Drosophila melanogaster: one gene and its partners. Changing the gene in region 2 together with the main gene of any one other region gives a genetic interaction. Each region holds a gene or a part of one and is shown on either strand. Other genes may lie near its edges. The genes, in order: Schip1, Tao and Fas2.

What was found.
Region 1: of Tao (region 2) and Schip1, changing one suppresses a phenotype caused by changing the other (phenotypic suppression), as found in Drosophila melanogaster (one study listed by BioGRID).
Region 3: of Tao (region 2) and Fas2, changing one suppresses a phenotype caused by changing the other (phenotypic suppression), as found in Drosophila melanogaster (one study listed by BioGRID).

What each region holds. Positions count from the first base shown.
Region 1 is NT_033779.5:10,326,568-10,333,393, forward strand, and holds Schip1 (schwannomin interacting protein 1), read right to left. Parts: upstream 4,550-6,826; 5' UTR 4,513-4,549; intron 4,026-4,512; 5' UTR 4,013-4,025; coding exon 3,425-4,012; intron 3,365-3,424; coding exon 2,908-3,364; intron 2,844-2,907; coding exon 2,755-2,843; intron 2,696-2,754; coding exon 2,629-2,695; intron 2,569-2,628; coding exon 2,237-2,568; intron 2,174-2,236; coding exon 1,905-2,173; intron 1,844-1,904; coding exon 1,780-1,843; 3' UTR 1,633-1,779; downstream 1-1,632. Other genes in the region: RnrL (ribonucleoside diphosphate reductase large subunit), read right to left, coding at 1-651, 710-887, 1,120-1,208, 1,260-1,311; Cox10 (cytochrome c oxidase assembly factor 10), read left to right, coding at 5,043-5,114, 5,180-5,363, 5,421-6,107, 6,172-6,404. UniProt on the Drosophila melanogaster protein: Regulator of the Hippo/SWH (Sav/Wts/Hpo) signaling pathway, a signaling pathway that plays a pivotal role in organ size control and tumor suppression by restricting proliferation and promoting apoptosis.
Region 2 is NC_004354.4:19,575,643-19,582,485, reverse strand, and holds the start of Tao (Tao), read left to right. Parts: upstream 1-2,685; 5' UTR 2,686-3,088; intron 3,089-3,983; exon of another isoform or gene 3,984-4,584; intron 4,585-4,891; 5' UTR 4,892-4,991; coding exon 4,992-5,221; intron 5,222-5,286; coding exon 5,287-5,791; intron 5,792-6,090; coding exon 6,091-6,447; intron 6,448-6,516; coding exon 6,517-6,843. Other genes in the region: CG14218 (uncharacterized protein), read left to right, coding at 827-1,490, 1,552-1,940. UniProt on the Drosophila melanogaster protein: Serine/threonine-protein kinase which regulates the Hippo/SWH (Sav/Wts/Hpo) signaling pathway, a signaling pathway that plays a pivotal role in organ size control and tumor suppression by restricting proliferation and promoting apoptosis.
Region 3 is NC_004354.4:4,201,910-4,208,439, reverse strand, and holds the start of Fas2 (fasciclin 2), read left to right. Parts: upstream 1-2,346; 5' UTR 2,347-2,540; intron 2,541-4,953; 5' UTR 4,954-5,179; coding exon 5,180-5,249; intron 5,250-6,530.

The DNA of each region.
Region 1 (6,826 bases), on a different chromosome or scaffold from region 2:
CCAGGAACTCAAAGACATCCGAGTGCCAGGGTTCCAGGTAAATGGCAAAGGCACCGGGACGCTTGCCGCCTCCCTGATCCACATAACGTGCCACATTATTGAAAACCCTCAGCATTGGAACCAACCCATTCGAAGTTCCATTTGTGCCGCAAATCGATGTGCCCTTTGCACGAATGCAGTGTACGTTAAGTCCAATGCCACCGGCGGACTTGGAGATCATGGCGCACTGCTCCACAGACTTGAAAATGCCCTCGATGGAGTCGGCTGTCATGGTCAGAAGGAAACACGACGACAACTGCGGCCGGTTTGTGGCAGCGGCAAACAGTGTGGGCGATGCATGCGTGAAGTAGCGCTCCGATAGAAGATTATAAGTTTCCACGGCCGCATCGATATCCTCTCCATGGATTCCGATCGCCACGCGCATCAGCATATGCTGCGGTCGCTCTGCGATCTTTCCGTTTCTTTTGAGCAGATAGGAACGCTCCAGGGTCTTGAAGCCAAAATAGTTATAGCCAAAGTCACGATCATAGATTATGGACGAGTTCAGCCGTGTGGCGTTCTTCTTAACCACATTGTAGTGAAACTCGGATACCAAGGGCACTTTTTGATTCGTCTCCTTGTTTACATGATTATACAGATCCTCGAAGACGTCTAATAAGAATCATGATTGGATTAACCGAAGAACTCAGAATACAAGCTATGAACTTACCAGAAAAAGCCTTCTTGGTTTCCTTGTGCAAATTGGACACTGCAATGCGAGCAGCCAGGATGGCGTAGTCGGGATGATTGCATGTTAATCCAGCTGCGATTTCTGCTGCCAAGTTGTCCAGCTCCTGGGTGGTCACGCCGCAGTACAGACCATTGATGACTTGCAGGGTGATAGTAACCTATAAAGATAAAGCATAATAACACATCAGGAAAACTTCCCAAATAATCTGCTGATAACTTATTACAAATGGTTTGTATATCTTGGGACTCCCACATGAGTTTCACCAGGGGCGCTCGCACATTCTGTTGCAGATAAAATCAAACCCCATCACATATAAATACGCATCATACTTACTAGGTTCGAGTGCAACCTGTGTGATGAGCACCTTTAAACAATAGAAACAAACTTACAGGATCAACAAAATCCATGTTCAAGTTGTAGCAAAGCTTCTGGATTCTTGAGGTTATTTTATCGAAGTGCACCTCCTCCTGCCTGCCATCTGAAATAAATATATTAAGAACAGTCATAGCGACAAGGAATTGTAACCCACCTCTCTTAATAACATATAACTTTGAGGTTTTCATGGACTTGTTCTTCAACATCTTGACTGCTATATTTCACAAGAGGCGGCAAATTGATTGTTGCAAGCACAAAAAGGCGCCAAATTAAAGTCATTATTAGTGTTACCGTGCGACATGTTGATCAAATGCCGCACTTTCAAAACGCCTAACTTTGAAACGATCAAGAAACAAAATTATTTCGAACCGTTCCACTCACATTTATATCATATTCTTAAAAAATATATCATTTTAGATAATCAAATAAATATATAAATAACTGCTTGTATCAATACACAGGTGTTTTATAAAAACAAATTTAGTTTAGTGTTAATATAAATAATTAGTTGTATTTTTTATTTATTTAGCTTTATATAATTACATAAATATAACAGTGTTTGAAGAACATTTGAGTATGTGTTTTATAAACGGTCTCGGTAGATTGTTATCAATTATACAAGAGATTATAATATTTGTAAACAAGTTGTTAATAAAATATGCAATTTCAAGTGTTTAATCTAAATGGCCGTGTCTAACTATTTTATTGACTTGCTGTCCAGATTGCTGTTGGAAAACACTAGAAAGAAATATTAACATTAATACACACAGTTAAAATAAGATAATATTTGTATACATACAAAAAGTTATTTATTTTTTCGAGATCGTGTAATATATCATCTTGGTCCGAATTCAAATCGTCTCGCTCCTTAAGGCTCTCCAGTAGTGTGACGTTTAGGTTTTCAATATATTCCTGGAGATTGTTGACCAATAGCTGGAGAGTCGGAACTTGGATTCCAGTGAGCAGCTGCCTCGAAATCCATCGATGGTTGGAGTTCATTTTGATGCCAACATCACACAGCATTGATCGAATTACGTCCACAATGGGAGTTACGCCATGTTTCCTTGCCTACAAATAGATAATTACAATTACATTTGAATAAAAAATAAATAAATCCTGTGGAAAACACACCTTTACTTTCATCTGAGCTATTTCCTTCGATTGAGCTAGTGCTATTCTAACCTCTATTTGAAGTTTTGATTGATTCGCAAAGAAAAACAAGTTTTCATCCGACGGATAATCTGTTGTACCAATGGGATTGCCATTCATATGATTCATGCTTTTATCTTGGTTGATTTGGTTCTTTTGAAAGATTTTATCGTTTTCAAATTCCTTATTGCGTTTCGTTTCACAGAATTCAGATTGCTTGCGAAGTACTCCACTTGATAGTTTTGGACACGTCTCAGAGTCGGAGCTATAACTTTCATTATCGGATCCGGTTAGAAATTCCTCCTTCTTAATGTCTAAATATAAAATATAATATTTAAGAAAATATAGTAATGAAAGAATATCTTTGGTCTTACCATTATTTAAAGAATCTTTATCTCCGATTGCCAATCTCTTGCGTATCTCATCTCGATTGAATCGCCGCTGTAATTGGAATATATATTTAATAAATGATATTATTATTCCGATTATATTGTACCTACCTTTTTCTCTATCTGTTTAACCTTTTTATAATGGTTTTGCAATGTTTCTACATCCATATCGTTTGCAATCTTGTACGCATCAAATTGTTCTATAAAAATTTAAATATTAATATACTCAAGAATCTATAACGATTAATTCATATTTGAAATTACCTAAAACCATGGTGGAGCATGGATCTTTGGAGTACTTGATGGGATCTTCCAAGTACTGAGACCAGCGCGATTGATTTGAGTACTTCCGACTAGCCACCTTGTTATTGTCCTCGTCCAGATTCTGCTGGCTTCCACTTCCACCGATTTCCAAGCTGCTCATGTTGGGTATTTCAGCCTGATTTAGGTTCGGACTATCGTTTTTGTTCTTTTCCGGAACGGACGAGTATTGGTCAGCATCACAAATGATATATTTTCGTTGGCTATACGTTTTGTAGTCGAACGTGTCCGGTGGCAATTGACGTTCGTCATGAGACGGCTTTGGATGCTTCGTTTTCACGATCTGATGTCCGTACGGTGTGTTCTTCTTTTTATTTTTTCGAGTACTATTCCCGGACAATCGCGTCGAGGATGTTTGCTTAAGAGCCTCCGTTCCATTTGATAGTTCTGCATCGCAAATCTGCAAGGTACAATTATGCTTTTACGTGCCTGATCTCTTTTATTTTAACTAACTACATACCTTATCTAAATTTGATCCCTTCAACTCATCCGCTTCCTTCTTGTTTTTATATCCAGTGAGAAGTAGCTCGAATTCACGTTCCACTTCTCCGCCAAAATCACCAACAATATCGATAGGACTTTGGCCTTGCAACTGCCCTTCGTATTTCGAATTAATTGTACATGACCAGGATGGAAACTCAGGATTGGTCGTATAATTCTGGCTTAGATTGTAGATAAGGTCAGGTTTTTGCAAAGCTCGCTTGGAGTTTTCCGACGTTGCACTATAGTTTTCATTTACAATATCCGGAATGTTTTCCGATCGGTTCACGCTTTCCTCTTCTGATATATATGTGTTTCCATTGTCGCAGTTACTTAAAATCGAATCTTGGCCATTCTTAAAGGTTTCCGAGCCCGATTCCTTGGCCATCTTACTTGGGAACGTTGGGTCATCTTCTCTATCGCTGTCGGTTAGATCGCTTTCATTGCACTCCATGTCGGAGTACTCTATGTAGTCATCGGAAAGGGTATGCGCGAACTTTTGAAATCCTGGGTAGTTGGGGTTGGTGATGCCCTTTGTTATATAGATATCCATTCTTGGCATGGGCATTGGAATAAGTTGTCTAGAAGAAATAAAAAAGTTTAGATGACTTAAATATTGATTACAACTACAGTGTATTAATAACATAACATAATTAAAACATAGTAAAAGCAATAAAATGGTTTTTTTCTTATTTCCTTTTACTTGCTAAAGGACACCACTATCTCCACTCCACTATTTTCTTTAGTTCAACTCATTATCGTATTTATAAATTACTTTAAGAGTCAATTTGGTATTTAACTTCATATGTGTTTAGATGTTACATTGTCCTTAACAACACATGAATGAACTGACATTTTGTATATTCTTAAAATCGAGAAACAAGAATCAAGCCGAAAAAAGTTGGTGTAGGTGCAAATTTTTGTAACAGAAATATCTGAAGATAGTCAAAGTTACTTGCAATTATAATTTCTTGTATTTGCTTTATTTAAACGATTGTTTCGACTGTTAACAACTAAAATGTATTCCGTTTGTTTAAAATGTTAATTATTGAATCAATGAAGACTTACAAGGACTTCGGCCTTCCTGCATTCAGATGTAAAAATTACTCCCACACATATAAAGCAAATTACACGTTTGACGCATGCGCAAATCTTGGTATATAGTGTTGTTAACAATACTAAATATTATTACAAATAATTTAATTTACTAAGGAACAAAAAATTTATTAATTATTTATTATTTTTTTATATGCAAAAACTGAGAAAACAACTTAAAAATCGAAACTGAAAATGTCTCTGAGTTTTACCATGGCACAAAATTTTCTTTTAATGTAAACTTATATTATTATTATTTAAGGAATAGGCTTAAAACTTTTTGCTATGTTTTTTTCAAAGTTCTTAAAAAATCCCAATCCCAACAATTTATGAATACCTCTGATTAAATTTTTTGCACTCAGTATTTTTCTCATTTTGAGATATGGTAACACTTAAGCACAATGTGATTTAAAAAACCATAACATTGTATATAAAAGTAATAGAAATCCAAACACAACTAGAAAAATGAAATAACCGTAGACCTAACTAATAAGTGAATAATAATGATATTATTCAAAGGAATTCGGCGGGTGCAATCCCAGCTAAGAACGCCGGTTGATTTGGTGCTCATTCGGGTGAGGTTCTTGGCCATTACGCAACAAACCACTATAACAAACTATAACTTTCCAATAATTTTCAGTACTCCACTGCAGCAACGATAGCTTCCCAAGATGACAAAGGTGTCACTACAGCGTCGCCAGTATCCCAGGCGGGAAAGGTCCAGCATTTACCCGATAGTCAAATTACCTGGATGCCTAGTCCGTACACCATGCCCGGAAAAACTCTTAGCCAGTACAAGAAGCTATCCAAGTTCCGGCTGACATGTAAGCGAGATGGTTAAACATTGGCCAAGCATCGACCATAGTTGTCTTTCGTTGCAGCGCTGGTGGTCATTACAACGATGGGCGGCTATGCCATGGCGCCAGCTGCTTTCGATCCCACAACGTTTGCGATGTGCACCCTGGGCACAGGACTCGTTTCGGCTGCGGCGAATGCCATTAATCAGTATCACGAAGTTCCTTTCGATTCGCAGATGTCGAGGACAAAGAACCGGGTGCTCGTCACGGGGCAAATGACACCACTGCATGCAGTTACCTTCGCCGCGGTGTCGGCAACTGCCGGCTTAAGTATGCTGTATTTCGGAGTAAATGGATTGACGGCGGCGCTGGGAGCGGGTAACCTGTTCCTCTACACCACGATATACACACCGATGAAGCGTATCAGCATAGTCAATACCTGGGTGGGATCGATAGTGGGCGCCATTCCTCCGCTGATGGGATGGGCTGGTTGTGCAGCCACCCTGGACGCCGGCGCCATGATCCTAGCCGGAGTGCTGTACGCGTGGCAGTTCCCGCACTTCAACGCTCTGTCGTGGAACCTCCGGCCGGATTATTCACGTGCCGGCTACCGAATGATGGCCGTTACCAATCCGGGTCTTTGTCGCCGCACTGCGCTGCGATATTCGGTGGCTATTGTCGGACTTTCAGCCATGGCACCCGTACTGGACGTCACGAACTACTGGTTTGCCTTGGAAACACTACCTCTGAACGCGTACTTCGCCTACCTTGGTAAATATACTCATTAACCATGGAATCCTATATGTTATGTCTAATACGTTCTGTTTGCTTGCAGCGTACAAGTTTCATGAAAAGTCAGATAGTGGGAGCTCGCGGAAGCTGTTCCGATTTTCACTGATACACCTGCCCGCCCTGATGCTGCTATTTCTGACCAATAAGAAGGAATGGTATTTCAGCAAACCCGCCGGTGAGGAGAACAAAAAGGAGTCCACGTACAGTGCGATAAAGCATTCTGCTAGCAGTCTTGGTAATGTCCTGCCCGTCGCCGTAGCCGAAGGACCCAGATAGAAATATTAACATTAATTTGATAAAATGTTAAGTATCGTGTGAAATTTAAATATACTTAGTGTTCTGCAACTTGTAAAAACAGTCATTTAATATTAAGGAAACACGTACCCCTGTGCGGCAAATATATGTTGCGCCTAATAAATGACACGACATCCTTGAAAAATATGCGGTGTAACCAATCCGGCGCTGAATACAAATAAATTTAAAATATACAATTTGGCATGGAATCTTAAGCCGTACAGTAATTTAAATTGCAAGATTCTAAGTATGACCTTATTATATTGTTCTTTGAGCACTTGTTTCAAAAAAAGCACGGAAACGGTAAAAATTGTTAGTGGAAGTAATCCCGTTTCCCGTTGTTTCATCGGTTGTTGAAAATAAGGAATTTAAATCTATTTTATTTTGATAAATTGTAGCAATCG
Region 2 (6,843 bases):
AACTTGACGAATTAGTCAACGAATTAGTAAGCGCCCACTGTTCGTAAAATCTTTCCCAATCGAATACACCTATAATATTCAGATAATCTTCATTGTTGAACATTTGAACTGTTTTGAGGAATGAGATTTGACACAAGTTCAAGTGAAATTGGTAGTATGTACATACATACGTTTGTATATGGTATATAACCACTTGAGTTTACAATTATAAAACAAGCAATCTATGAATGATTTCCCTATCTTATGGGAAACTTATCTGTGAATTATTGATATTTTGTTAGGGTTTTAAAACATGTAGATTCGTACTCGACACAGAACAATCTAAATAGTATAGATACTTAATGAGCTTGCAGATAGTTAGTTCCCTTGTGTATATCAATCCCTTATGTTGGAGGCAGCTCTACTATATGGTATATGCTATGTGTATGTATGGTATATATATAGGTGGGTATATGGAGTTCTAGTCCCACGGTGCGTGTTGTTTAGCCTCTTAAAATGCACTCGCCGCTAAGCATTATGCATAGTTCGAGCTGCACTTACGATCTATAAACTGGCGCAAAAGTAGTGCAAAAGTAATTGTTGCCACGCACTGAACTCGTTGATAACCGCCGGCAGTCGGCGGGGTCTGCGATTACGAGATCCAGGCGGACGGTCGCAGCTAACCCGTCTAACTAGTTGACTTTGGGGGGGCACTTAATCCGCGACGCCCAGGCCCGCGTGGCACCACTCCGTTGGAGTACAGGCAGGCGACTCCAGCGCTGACCAGCGCCAGTTCTGATTGGAACGGCCTTTCGAGCGGTACACACATACTCTTTGATCCGTCAGGATGAGGATGTTACGTCTGCAGTTGATGGCCCTGCTGTTGGTGGGCCTGCTCCTGGCGCTGATCTCAGCCGATCCTGGGCCGCAGGACACGGAGGTGGCGCGAGAAAAGCGAGGCACCATCACCCTGGACTTTGGCCTGCTCCTGCGTAACCTGCTGCTCAAGAGCGCCCAGCTGTCCTCGGCTAAGGCCAATCTGGCGCGGACCACACGTCGTCCACCGACGACCACCACGACGACGCCGCCTCCGCCACCACCACCTGCTCCGATACGCATTCGTAAGCCCATCTGGCATCCGTTCTTCAGTTCCGGTTTCCTGCCCGGGGCCTTCGATGTGGACTACGCTGATCCTCCGGCACCACGACCTCCAGCGCCTGCGCCGCCCACTACACAGCCACCTAGACGCGTCCGACCGCAGGTGCGACCACGTCCACGCCCAACGACACTGGCACCGCCTCCTCCGCCGAACTATGACTACGACTATGACTATGATGCGCAGCCAGCGGCGCCAGCTGAACCTCCACCGCCTCCACCTCCTCCGCCGCCGCCCACAGCTCCGCCACGCCCAAGGCCACGGCCGCGCCCACGACCCCAGCAGCCCGATCCTCAACAGCGGCGTCCCGCCCAGCTGGGCGACCGCCTTATCTATCAGTACGCACAACCTACTGGTAAAATACGAAACCTCTTAACTAACTGCCGTACAATTGGGTTCTCTCCGACACTTTGCAGATACCTTCTTTAGGTCGCGAGCCGTGGCGGAGGCGACGGCGGCGGCTGACCCAGACAGCGGAGACTTAGTTGACTCCCAGGACCCGGACTCAGTTGCCGATCCGGATGCGGCTGCATTTCCTGTCACTGCAGATGGGCCTGACTCCCAACCTGCTTCTCCCCCACCAAGTGCTTCGCGATTTTTGGTCAACTACGAGAGCGATGACGACTTTGGGCAGCCGTTTGCTGGACAGCGGGCTCAGGATGCGGGTCAGGATGGGGGTCAGGATCAGGGTTCAGCGGGTGCTTCTGGTATTCCCGCATCATCCCAAGGCTACTTCCCGCCCCTCGAGCTTGGCAACACGAATCGCTTCCCAACTTTCAATCAGCAGCAGTACTTCTATAATTAAGCGGTAGAGTTTCTCATTTTTCCAACGTGGGCAATAAAATTAACTTCGCAGCTTGATATATTATGTGTATGTACATATGTATAGCTTATGTGTTGCAGTGTGCTTAAAATTGAACATAAACTATTTTAAATATAAGCATCCATTTTTTTGTATTCCCAGTTTGCATAGTTGTAAATAACATATCAAATAAAGTAATAATGTAAGTTCCCCGTAATTTATATTAACTAGGAGGGCGTTAAATAGCTAAGTAAATACCGTATCATGAAATTATCAGTATGTTTTCAAAAAGTGCGCCAAACTTGTTGCGATGAGTATCGGTATTTGACTTAGCGAACTGAGCTATTAAAAAGTTATTAAAAATTTGATACATATATGTGTTCTTCTAACATAGATACCCAACTGCGATTTCGTGAGCTGTAATTCTGCAGAATTCTGTATAAGTTAAATTATTGATTTTCAAACATTAAAAAAAAAAACTAATAATTCCAAAACGATAGCGTAACCACGGACATCACCACCCGGTGCACGTTCGATAGACTATCGATAGAGACCAAAAAACGAACCTTTTCTCTTAAAACTAATTGAATTGAGCGAATTCAACTATAAAAACGCCTCTGCAAGAGTTAACTTCGCAAACATATTGAAAAAAATAAGTTAATTTTAAATATATCGCCTAAAATCGGGATTTTTTAGTAAAAAGCGGTCAGTGGTAGTTTTTGGTTTCAAGCCGCTCGGCTGATCTGGTAACACTGTGTGCTGTGTGAACGTGAACTTTACGGAATTTAATTAGAGAAACGGGTGAAGAAAAGTTGCAAATAGACAATCGCTGCCAATTTTCCATGCCGTAGATGGGTGCATCTGCGACGTAACGATCCCCCGAATTCGGTGCTTGGCACTCGAGATGTGTAGCCAGTGCGGATTCGTGAACGCAACGCGTGTGCAGTGCAGGGCAATAGTTGCCATTCCCAGTAGCAGTATCACTACCACTACCAGTCCCATTCCGATTCCCGTTCCCAGTCGCAGCAGGGCCAATAACAGCAGCAGCGGTCGTAGGGAAAGCGACGTATGAAAGGGAAAAATGCATACAGATGCGAAAAGCGAGACCCAGTTGCGCCGATAAACAAGCAAGCACTAATTGATTGCCAAATGTAAGCCCTCGAACGCAGTGGAAAAAGTTCAAACGTTTTTTCTTTTTCGCCTCGCCAGATTTATGCATTTTCCACTGTCTCTCCATCCCTGTGTGCGTGTGTGCCTGTGTGTGTGAATGCGTATGCTCGTGTACGTGTGTGTATGTGCATACTGTTCTTTTTCGCGTTTGCGTTTTGGCCAATAAATGCGAATTTCTTGTGTGCCATCTGCCCATTGAATTAACAATGTGGTATTATCATTGATCCCACAAATTTCAATCAAATACAGCGCATTTGCGGGTTCTGAGTGCTACATCTGATTTCGGTGCGACGACTCCCTCAACGCGCGAGAACGGGATAGCACCAGTCGAACCATACGAATGTGTGTGTATTTGTCTGCTCCCCCGACGAGCGTGAGTGTGTGTGTGTGCAAGCAAAACAAAATTAGGCGATTCAAAACAGTTGCAAAATGCAGCGAAATAAGCCAATTTTAATCGCAACACATAGATCAACCATGGTAATCAGTCAATAAGTGGTCAGTCAACGAAGAAAACCAACAACTGGCGCAGCATCACCGCCTTCGTGCGTTCTTTTTCGGCTCCTTCGGTGTGTGCCTAGTCCGCACCCAAGGAAAAGCCAACCCAACTGAAAATCAATTCGAATCGCAGAACTCTTTGGTATTCTACTACAATTCCCTGTGACGGAGCGCCACAGCACAGTGCAAGCCACGGAAAAGGCACGAATTGAATTGAATTTGTGTCGCCCGAAATGCAAAACAACAAGCAATCCCACCGCACATATACATATAGAGCGCGCGCGTGAGTGTGTGTGAGCGACATGGCTGCTCTTTGTGCAATAGTGTGGTGGCTATGAAAAATAGGCGTGTTTCTGTTTCGCGTCGCAGGCAAAGAATTGCAGTCGCCGCACCACAGCGGACTAATTGTATTGAGAATTTTTGCCAGGCGGCGATAGGCGAAAGCCGGAGCTCCGACGGGGGCCAAAATCCGCGTCTTTAGCCGGCGGATATCCGCAGACGCCCGCAAAACGCCTCCGCATGCACAGACATGCATACTCCAATGTATGCATGTGTGTGTGTGTATTTGGATTCGCAACGGCGATAAATGCACCCCTTTGGTGCCGTTACTCCTTGGCAGCTCGCGTGTGTTTGTGTGTCAGTCGTAACGACCTTTGATTACCCTGCAGCACGTGTGCATACCCTACACCTAGCTAGTTAGTCCAGCTTGACCACAAATACCGCCCTACTGCACGTGCGCATCCACTCCACTCATTACTTGTTCGAAATCCAAGCAAATGAACTTAACGGCGTTAGTCATACCGACTGCCAAATGCCCTAGACCACTTACACCCCAGCTGTCGTAATCTGGCCAAAAAGCAGCTGACAAGTTGGTAACAAGCTGAGGAAAATAGCCTGGCCATAAAAGACGGTGCCAACAGTGAATATATTTGCGATAAGGCCGTGCTGCGTGCGGAATTCGGAGTTTTGAATGATTCGTACAGTATGTGCGAGCATGAATCACTTGATCGATTTGATGATAGTCGGCTTTTAGCTGTTCCCATCCGTCCGTCCGTTTGACCGTCTCCCCATGCAAATGCTGACCAAAGCACAGTGCCCACTGTCCACTGGCCCAGCCATTCCCGCTACGCCCCGTGCCGCCCAATTCAATTGGTCCGCAGTCTCAGCGTTTCAGCCTGAAATCCCCCAAAAATGTCGACCCTTTGAACATGACTAAGTGACTGGCGCAGGCTGTGAATGTGACTGACTAACCGGAATCGCCTTTTTTTCGCCCCACCCGATCCGCACAGAACTTCAAGACAGCAGAGTAGCCAGCTGGAGCTGCAAGCTGCGAGGAGAAGCACGCAGGTCGACCACTGAGAGAGCTGGGCTAGAGCATGAAAGACAGCCATGCCTTCGGCACGACCTGGTAGTCTCAAGGATCCGGAAATAGCCGACCTATTCAACAAGCATGACCCGGAGAAAATCTTCGAGGACCTGCGCGAAATCGGCCATGGGTCTTTCGGCGCGGTCTATTATGCGCGATGCAACCTCACCAGGGAGATCGTGGCCATCAAAAAGATGTCGTACACCGGCAAGCAGAGCCAGGAGAAGTGGCAGGATATTCTCAAAGAGATACGGTGAGCACTGGCTGACACTTGCGTTCGCCCGAGTGACTTCTAATCAATTTATGTGTACACAACAGCTTCCTTCGCCAATTGAACCACCCGAACACCATAGAATACAAGGGATGCTATTTGCGCGAATCAACCGCCTGGCTGGTGATGGAGTACTGCGTGGGCTCCGCCTCGGACATCATCGAGGTGCACAAGAAGCCGCTGCACGAGGACGAGATCGCCGCCATCTGTCTGGGCGTGCTCAGTGGGTTGAGCTATCTGCACTCGCTGGGCCGCATCCACCGTGACATCAAGGCGGGCAACATCCTGCTCACGGACAACGGCGTCGTCAAGCTGGCCGATTTCGGTAGCGCTGCCATCAAGTGTCCGGCCAACAGTTTTGTCGGCACGCCCTATTGGATGGCGCCCGAGGTGATCCTGGCCATGGACGAGGGCCAATACGACGGCAAGGTGGACGTGTGGTCGCTGGGCATCACCTGCATCGAACTGGCAGAGCGCAAGCCTCCCTACTTTAACATGAACGCCATGTCGGCGCTCTACCACATTGCGCAGAATGAGTCGCCGACTCTTCCGGTGAGTAGCAATCGAAGTTTTAATTTCTTGGTAGGAGTCTGTTTTGATAGCAAAACTGAAGTATGCCAATGTATTTATTTACGTATCGCTCTCATGTGTCCCTAGTGTTATTGTTTTATTTCCCACTTTTGGGGCTGGGGCAAGTTATATTTTACCCATTTGTATAGTAGAGCCTCCAGATTCTGCTTAAAAAAGTGTTTATGATTCAGAACTTTGTAAAGCAATTTTAAAGTAAACTAAGTAAGTGCAATTTGAATGTTATAAACAATTATCAAACCTATTCGATTTCAACCCGACAGAAGAACGACTGGTCGGATGCGTTTTGCAGCTTTGTTGAACTGTGCCTCAAGAAGATGCCAGCAGAGCGACCCTCGTCGGCCAAGCTGTTGACCCACGCCTACGTGACCCGACCGCGTTCCGACACCGTGCTGCTGGAGCTGATCGCGCGCACCAAGTCAGCGGTGCGCGAGCTGGACAACCTCAATTACCGCAAGATGAAGAAGATACTCATGGTGGACACCTGCGAGACGGAGAGCGCCGTGGGCGACACCGACGACCAACAGGACGACCATGCCGGCGGCGACAGCAGCAAGAGCAATAGTATTACTTCGGAACACTCCATACACTCGGTGGGTGTATCGGCAGCCAGTAGTCAGGTGAGCATGAGCTGTCCTTCGTTTAAAGCCACCCCACATTTCGTTTTATTTTCATTTTTGACCTTTCAGAGCTCCTCATCCAATTCCATACCGGCTGCGGCACAGAATCATCACCATATCGCTGCGCACCACCACCAGCAGGCGGCTAGCGCCGCTGTGGCGGCGGCAATGCACCACCATCACCATCCACACCAGCAGCCGCCGCCCAGCTGGCCAAGCGGCCAGCAAGGACAGCCGGTACCGCCTGGAGCCGTGTCCCGCAACTCGTCGCGCCATCGAAACCGGCCGCCGCTGCCAAACATAATGCACAGCATGAACAACAATGTGACGCCAACTAACTCGGCATCGGTGGTGCCGGCACCAGCGCCTGCTCCAGTACTCCCACCGCCTATTTCC
Region 3 (6,530 bases), about 15 Mb from region 2:
TATTTGTATGTAAGTGCCGCAGTGTATCTATAGATATGCACTTTGTATCTGTACCCGACATTTGTGCTTTGTGAGTTCGATTTGAAAACATAATTCATCATTTTGGCCGCTCAATGGCTGTCGTTCCTGTGGACTAATGATTCCCAGCTTAAGTTTCTGGCCAAGAACGAGATTGGAATTGAGTTTTGGTTCTTCGGTGCGGACAAAACCTGTCAGAAATGGTGCGGATTGCGCGGGGAGCTCTTCGTATCTAATTGCTTATAGAGTTATTAAACATTTTCTAATGATCTCGGGCTGCGGTTACCGTCATTTGAGAACCTATTCTCGATGCACCACCAAAAAATGCAGGTGTTCAACAAAAAAAAAAAAAAAAAAAAAAAACGAACTCAATCCGGGCTACAAATTGGAACAGAATTGCCGAGATAGCTGGAGATTGATTCGAGGACCACCCATCCGAAAACTAAATCGACGTCTTCATTTGTCTGGCTGGCTGGCTTCAAATCAGGTAGCAGATAGTCGGATTTCGGGGTCACAGGTCAGGCGAAACCATTTCAAGTAGGCTTGAACAACATATAAACTATCGCCATTGTTCACTGGTTCCCATAATTGTTAAATAATTGCAGTTCTCGGCGGGAAATGGGCATATTTCCTTTGTTTTTACATCAGATTACTGGTGCCAAGACCAAAGATTCTTAAAATAATTACTTATTTATTTATATTTATGTTCTAATTTCTTTATATTACATTCTTGCTTTTTAAATCGCCAATACATTTAAATGCAATCGTGTTAAATCCTATTTGTTGATAGCCAAAATGTTCACATCGTTGGCACATCATGGGTCAAAGGTCGAACGCATTAGCAAATTAAGCGTGAAGAACGATTGTCACCATAGTTCCCACAGCCAGCCGATCAATTCAATATTCATCTGTGAAAAGTTCGGAAAATTCGGCCGGCTGTGAAATAAAATTAACGCACTCCAAATCGGGCGAATCGGGCGTATCGGGTTTTTGTTTTGTGTGTGGGAGATAGAGGAAGATTCCGAGCAATAAATAAAGCGCAGCGAAAGTGCGACATCAACGACAAAATAACAATCCTATAAATCACTTATTGGTGATTCTGGCGGGGGAGGGGTGTCGCTGGTATATAGATATATGTAGGTACATATATCCCCTCTGTATACGGTGATAAATTGCTCCGTCACACAAACGACAAACGAAACAAAACAACAATGATAACTGCAGAATACATCGCATTGGCATCTATACGCAATTTCATTTAGTAAATTGCACACAGCGCATTCAAACGTAACTGCGATTTTTTTTTTTGTTTCCACTTAACCGGGGAAAATCACCCCCCTCGTCACGATTTTTCCGCAGGCTGGTTTAATTGACAGCGCGGCAATTGAAAATAAAAGAAGTTTTTGTTTGGAATCGAATCTCGATGTTGCGCGGGCAACAAGTGGCCGTCTCCGAAATATCCGAAATGTTGCCAGCCGGAAAATTCGTCTTGCATACCCGCCCGATTTTCCCCCCAGCATTCGTCGGTTACTTCGACAGCAAGATCGTAAAATGCTGTGCCGAAAAATAAGACGTTAAACTTTGGTTTTCCTCATTTCGAAATGTTGCAAGAGGTTTCGGCAACATGCTGCTAACTTCGAAGGATGTTTAGATAGTGTTCCCGAATATTCTTACAAAACTTATCGAAGTGTGAGATTTTCATCTTGCATATCAATCGGAAAAACCTTAGCTAGACATCATCTCCTCGCGATAGCACACTTTGCGTAATATATGTACATACGTGTAGCTCTTTTAAATGTGCCCCCGAATAAAGTAGTTACATTTTTAATGCTTCGTTCTGAAAGTTTGTTGACAAAGCTCCACAAAGATTGGGCAACAAAAACGTGTCAAAAAACCTGACACCAGTCGCTCGTAAAAGTGACGAAATGGGGCTTAAGTGCCACCGCCCAGTTTCTCCGCCCATTGTCGTTTGACCTTGCTGACACTCGAGAAGAAAAGAGCTGAATTCTTCGCCGCCTAACGGTAGACACTCTCCATCTCTTTTAGTCTCCACTGAAAACATATTTGGCCAATAACTGATATTAATATTCCTGTGCACTTATTACGTTATTTATGTAAATTAATTTCATTTTAAAAGAGCTCAGATTTTCGGTTTTATAAATTGCTATTATCTATGCACTTTACTTCTTAAACTTCTACCATCTCCCTTGCTTGATTACTTTCGGTTGGCAACATGCTGCGTCGCATCGGCTGGCAACATTTGGGGTTGCCAGATCTTGTGGCGCGGCAATAGCTGTGGTATTTTGCGGCGGCAGCGCTAGCGGTGCTTTCAGTTACGTTTCGACGGCCAACGCGTCGAGTGCTCTGCTTGCTGAGAGAAAGAAAAACACAAATAGAGACAACAGAAGTGGTTCTTCTTCTTCATACTCGCATTCTCTCGCGCTCTCTTCACCGTATGTGTTAACGGTCGTGGCGCGTCGTGTGCGTGTGTGTTAGTGTGCCAGTTAAACAATGAGAAATTGGTAATAATAAATAATAATAATAACTGCTCATAACAGCCATTATTTGGCCGTGCATGAGAAGAACTCAAAAAACATGTCGAGACAGCTCCACAAAAACCAAAAATAAACTGGCGGCATTCTTGTACATATTTTTTTTTTCAAAACTTTTTTTTTAGCGTGTGACAAAAAATACACAAATGTATCTCTCTCGCTCTGCTGAGTCTATGCTGTTTTGTTGTTTTAGCCCAAGATTCCAATGAGTCACGTGCAAAAGTTATTTCAATGAAAACCTCCATGAAAACCCTTTGAAAACTCACCCAATAATCGAGTTGGAAAAGTGCATACAACAAATATGAAAAAAAAGAGCAACATCACCTGAAAAGCAAGAAAAATAAAACGGAAAACAGGTTTTTGGGCCCGCTTCGCTGCCAACTTTATTGTTGTTACTACCAACAGTGTGCACTGGAAATTGACTCACGCTTGCAGCTGGCAAATAGGAAATATGAAACATACAAAAAAGAAACACGTTAAGAATTAGGAAAAGCCGGGCAAATTGATTCCACAACTAATCTGGAATGTTAACCACAGAACAAAAAAAAAAAAAAATAGAAAAGAATAGATTCTCAAATTTCACGACCAATTTCAGTCGGTTTCGTTTTTCCTTTGTCTGTCAAAATTGCCTTTATGTCGCATATCAAAAAGTTTATTTCGTTTGCTGCGGCTTTCTGCAAAAGTTTTAATGTGATTAAAAATATTTGTTTAAACTGTTAACAAGTCGGAATAAACTCAAAGTTGGTAAATTAACTTCATCGACTTCATAGAGTGCTTATTTGAAAACTTTTGCCGCTTTACTTTTGGCAGTTTTTCGAACAAGATGTTAGTTTCGCATTAATAAATTAGTTTATTGCGTTTTATCAAACCTAACCGAGCCATATTTTAATTAAGACTACAAAATCCTATTGAGTTCGTCCAATTCTAGGCAATCAAAACGGCAGATGTAATTACAATTTGTCGGTCGCGCCGAAAGTCAAAATCAAATCATTTGACAGCATTAATAATTCACGAATATCAAGTGGAAAACTTCTAAACTTTGTGCAACTTGAACAGATTCACAAAAACTCTACCGTTGCCAGAACTTCCCCTCTGGCCAAGTCTCTCATTATAATTAGCGTTTTCGAAACTTTATGAATATTTAAAACTGCTTCGCGGGTATTTTGTAACAATGTCTCAATTTGCCAAAAGCAAGAATGAAGCGAGATGAAAGCGAAATATTCTCAAGAATATTTCGCGTGCCGCAGACACACATACGCGCGGTTCCTATGAAAAAAAAAGTCAAGGCCTGCCCTAAATATCGATTATCCAGTAACTGTAATAACCGTAAGCCAAATGAGGGGGTGCGGTGGGAAAGTTCCGCTGTGCAAAGTGGGCGGGATTAGTGGCAAGACGAGCTCGCGAGGAAGTAACTACAGTTTTCCCTCGCCTGCATGCAAATATTTTTTGTTGCTAGGACTGTTATGAGTTTTCAAAAAAAAAAAAAAAAGAGCACTGCTTGCAAGGCGTCACTGTAAATGAAAATTAACTTTTATTGATCACTTATTCTACCTTTATTATTAGTCATTGCATTGAAGTCACGTTCAATTCTATAACTCAACCGTTTTTTATTTGGTTTACGATATTCTCTAAAGCGAGCGATAACTGTACTTTAGAACTTGTTGCAATTCAAGGACACTCAGCATAGGTGCAACTTCAGTAGACATAGAGAGAGAGAGAAGGCGAAAGAGAGCGAGAGAGACAAAGCTTGAGTCATGAATTATTGGAGAGACGCACGAACTTATGTGCCGATAAGAAATATACATTTCGCTCTCGAACCCAAAAGATAACGATCTACTGAGAACACAAACTTATAGATAAAATTCAGCTTAAGCAATCCTCTCCTACCTTATCCAAAGCCCCCCTTCCCTCCCTTACCCCTTGTGTCTGTGTTGCTCCTACCATATTTCCCCTGCACTACGTGTTTCGACTGCCGAGAGCACCGTAATTTCCGTTACAAAAACTGGCCAACATGTGCGAAGTCGGCGGCGCAGCAAGTTTTATTTTCTTCGTTTTCCTTTCTCATTTTTTTTCTTCTTCGCTGCCGCCGCCGATTTTAGAGAATGCAAAAGAGACAAGGCACACACGCACACAACATCGGCTCGCGCTGTCTCGCTTGCACTGCCTTCTTCCTCTTCTCCTCGCCCATAAATGCCAACATTTGCCATTTGAAGCTAAAATGCTAAAGTTATGACAAATATCAAATGCAGATGAACTTCTAAGGCCCAATCTGACTAACCACAAAAGCCAGTTACCATGAATTTAAACTAAAAAAAAACCCTATCTATATTACTATTAAAAGCTTAGCTAATTCATCTTTCTTTCATTATCAATATACTTTCAGATTCACACACCGAAACAGACAAAAGAAAAAAAAACAAAAGACACCGAACGCAAAGTGTTAATCAGAATAGAATAATTTGTGCAATCACGAGCAGCGAAAACAAACTGAAATTTTTTAAACATTTTTTTCGTGTGCAACCGTAAACAAACCAAAGAAGTTAAAACGAGAGCTATTTGCGAGCGGGGAAAACTAGAAAACTACTACAACTGCAAAAACAGCGATAAAAATGGGTGAATTGCCGCCAAATTCAGTCGGCGTCTTTTTGGCGCTGCTCCTCTGCAGCTGCTCTTTAATAGGTGAGTACGGGTATAAAAACGCTCCCCGAATTCCCAATATGTGCTTTTCAATTTGGTATTATAATTAGAAATAGAACCCAAACGCACGAATTGTGCTAAAGTCGAAAATTTATGGCCGCTTCTCCTTTGAAAAGAAAAAACTAAGCCGGAGAAATAGAATTAACACCTTTAATCTCAATAGTTGTGTCACATCATCACCTTTGTGATGCCCTAAATTTTCCACCTGGCTGGTAACTATCATTCCAAAAAATTGACATATCATTAGCTTAGTTGGCAATATACCAATGTAACCAAACGGCAAGCGTTTGTATTATAAAGCCACAATTATGGCTAACCAGAGGTCTTTTGACTTAGCTTAAATCCGCTTATCAGTCGAGAGGGTCATATCAAATCGTTGTTGTTTCCCTATATGATAGATAGCACAAGATTTAGGCAGACAAATTACCTGAGCACTTGCACTTATGTACCTGATGATAGGCGACCCTGAAACGAACGCTAAGCAAATAGAGACCTAAGGAAATATAAGAAAATAACATCCCACGAAAACTAAAATCATCTTTTACCTTATCGCAATCTCCCAGAAGAGACTAGAGTCAATATTTACTTTACCTTAGAGCAGACCATATCCGTGGCTGGTCAAATATCGTAAATTTTTCAGTTAACATGAGGGAATTACAATCGCAGATACTCCTAAAATTCCGGCACCTGACTTTGGAGCCGTAAAATTGGGACAAACAAACGCTGATAACTATTGCGCAAGAGTTGCCTGTTAAATAATAAATAAGACTTGGTTGCCATGATTCTTTGGATTTTGGGAACATTTCCTGAAATGAGTAAAGAAACTATTGAAAATAATCAGCTAATTAGGCCTAAGACCAAAAATTAGAAAGAAAAAAAACAAGGTGCAAACACAGCTTATATAATTATTAACTGATTAACAAATGATGGACCAAAAGATAGAACATAGAAACGCAGATTGAAATTAGCTTTAAACCCATTAAACCGGACTGACTAGCAGCAAATGTGAAGTTAGTTATATCGACTGGGAAGATTCATAACTCAGACAGAGTTTGTTGCGTCGCAAACTTCTTGGCAAAGTTGGTAAAGTCAAGAAGAGTCCAGCGTCGACTTCCCAGCAATTACCGCATCCGGTTTGGACCACAAAAGCTGATGCTGGCGGAGAATTTCTCAGCGAGGCCTCTTAAAATGTTCTAATACCGCAGAAAGTCGAATTTAATTAACTCAGTTTCTTCGCCCCTTGTGCTCCGCAGCGCTTTCTAC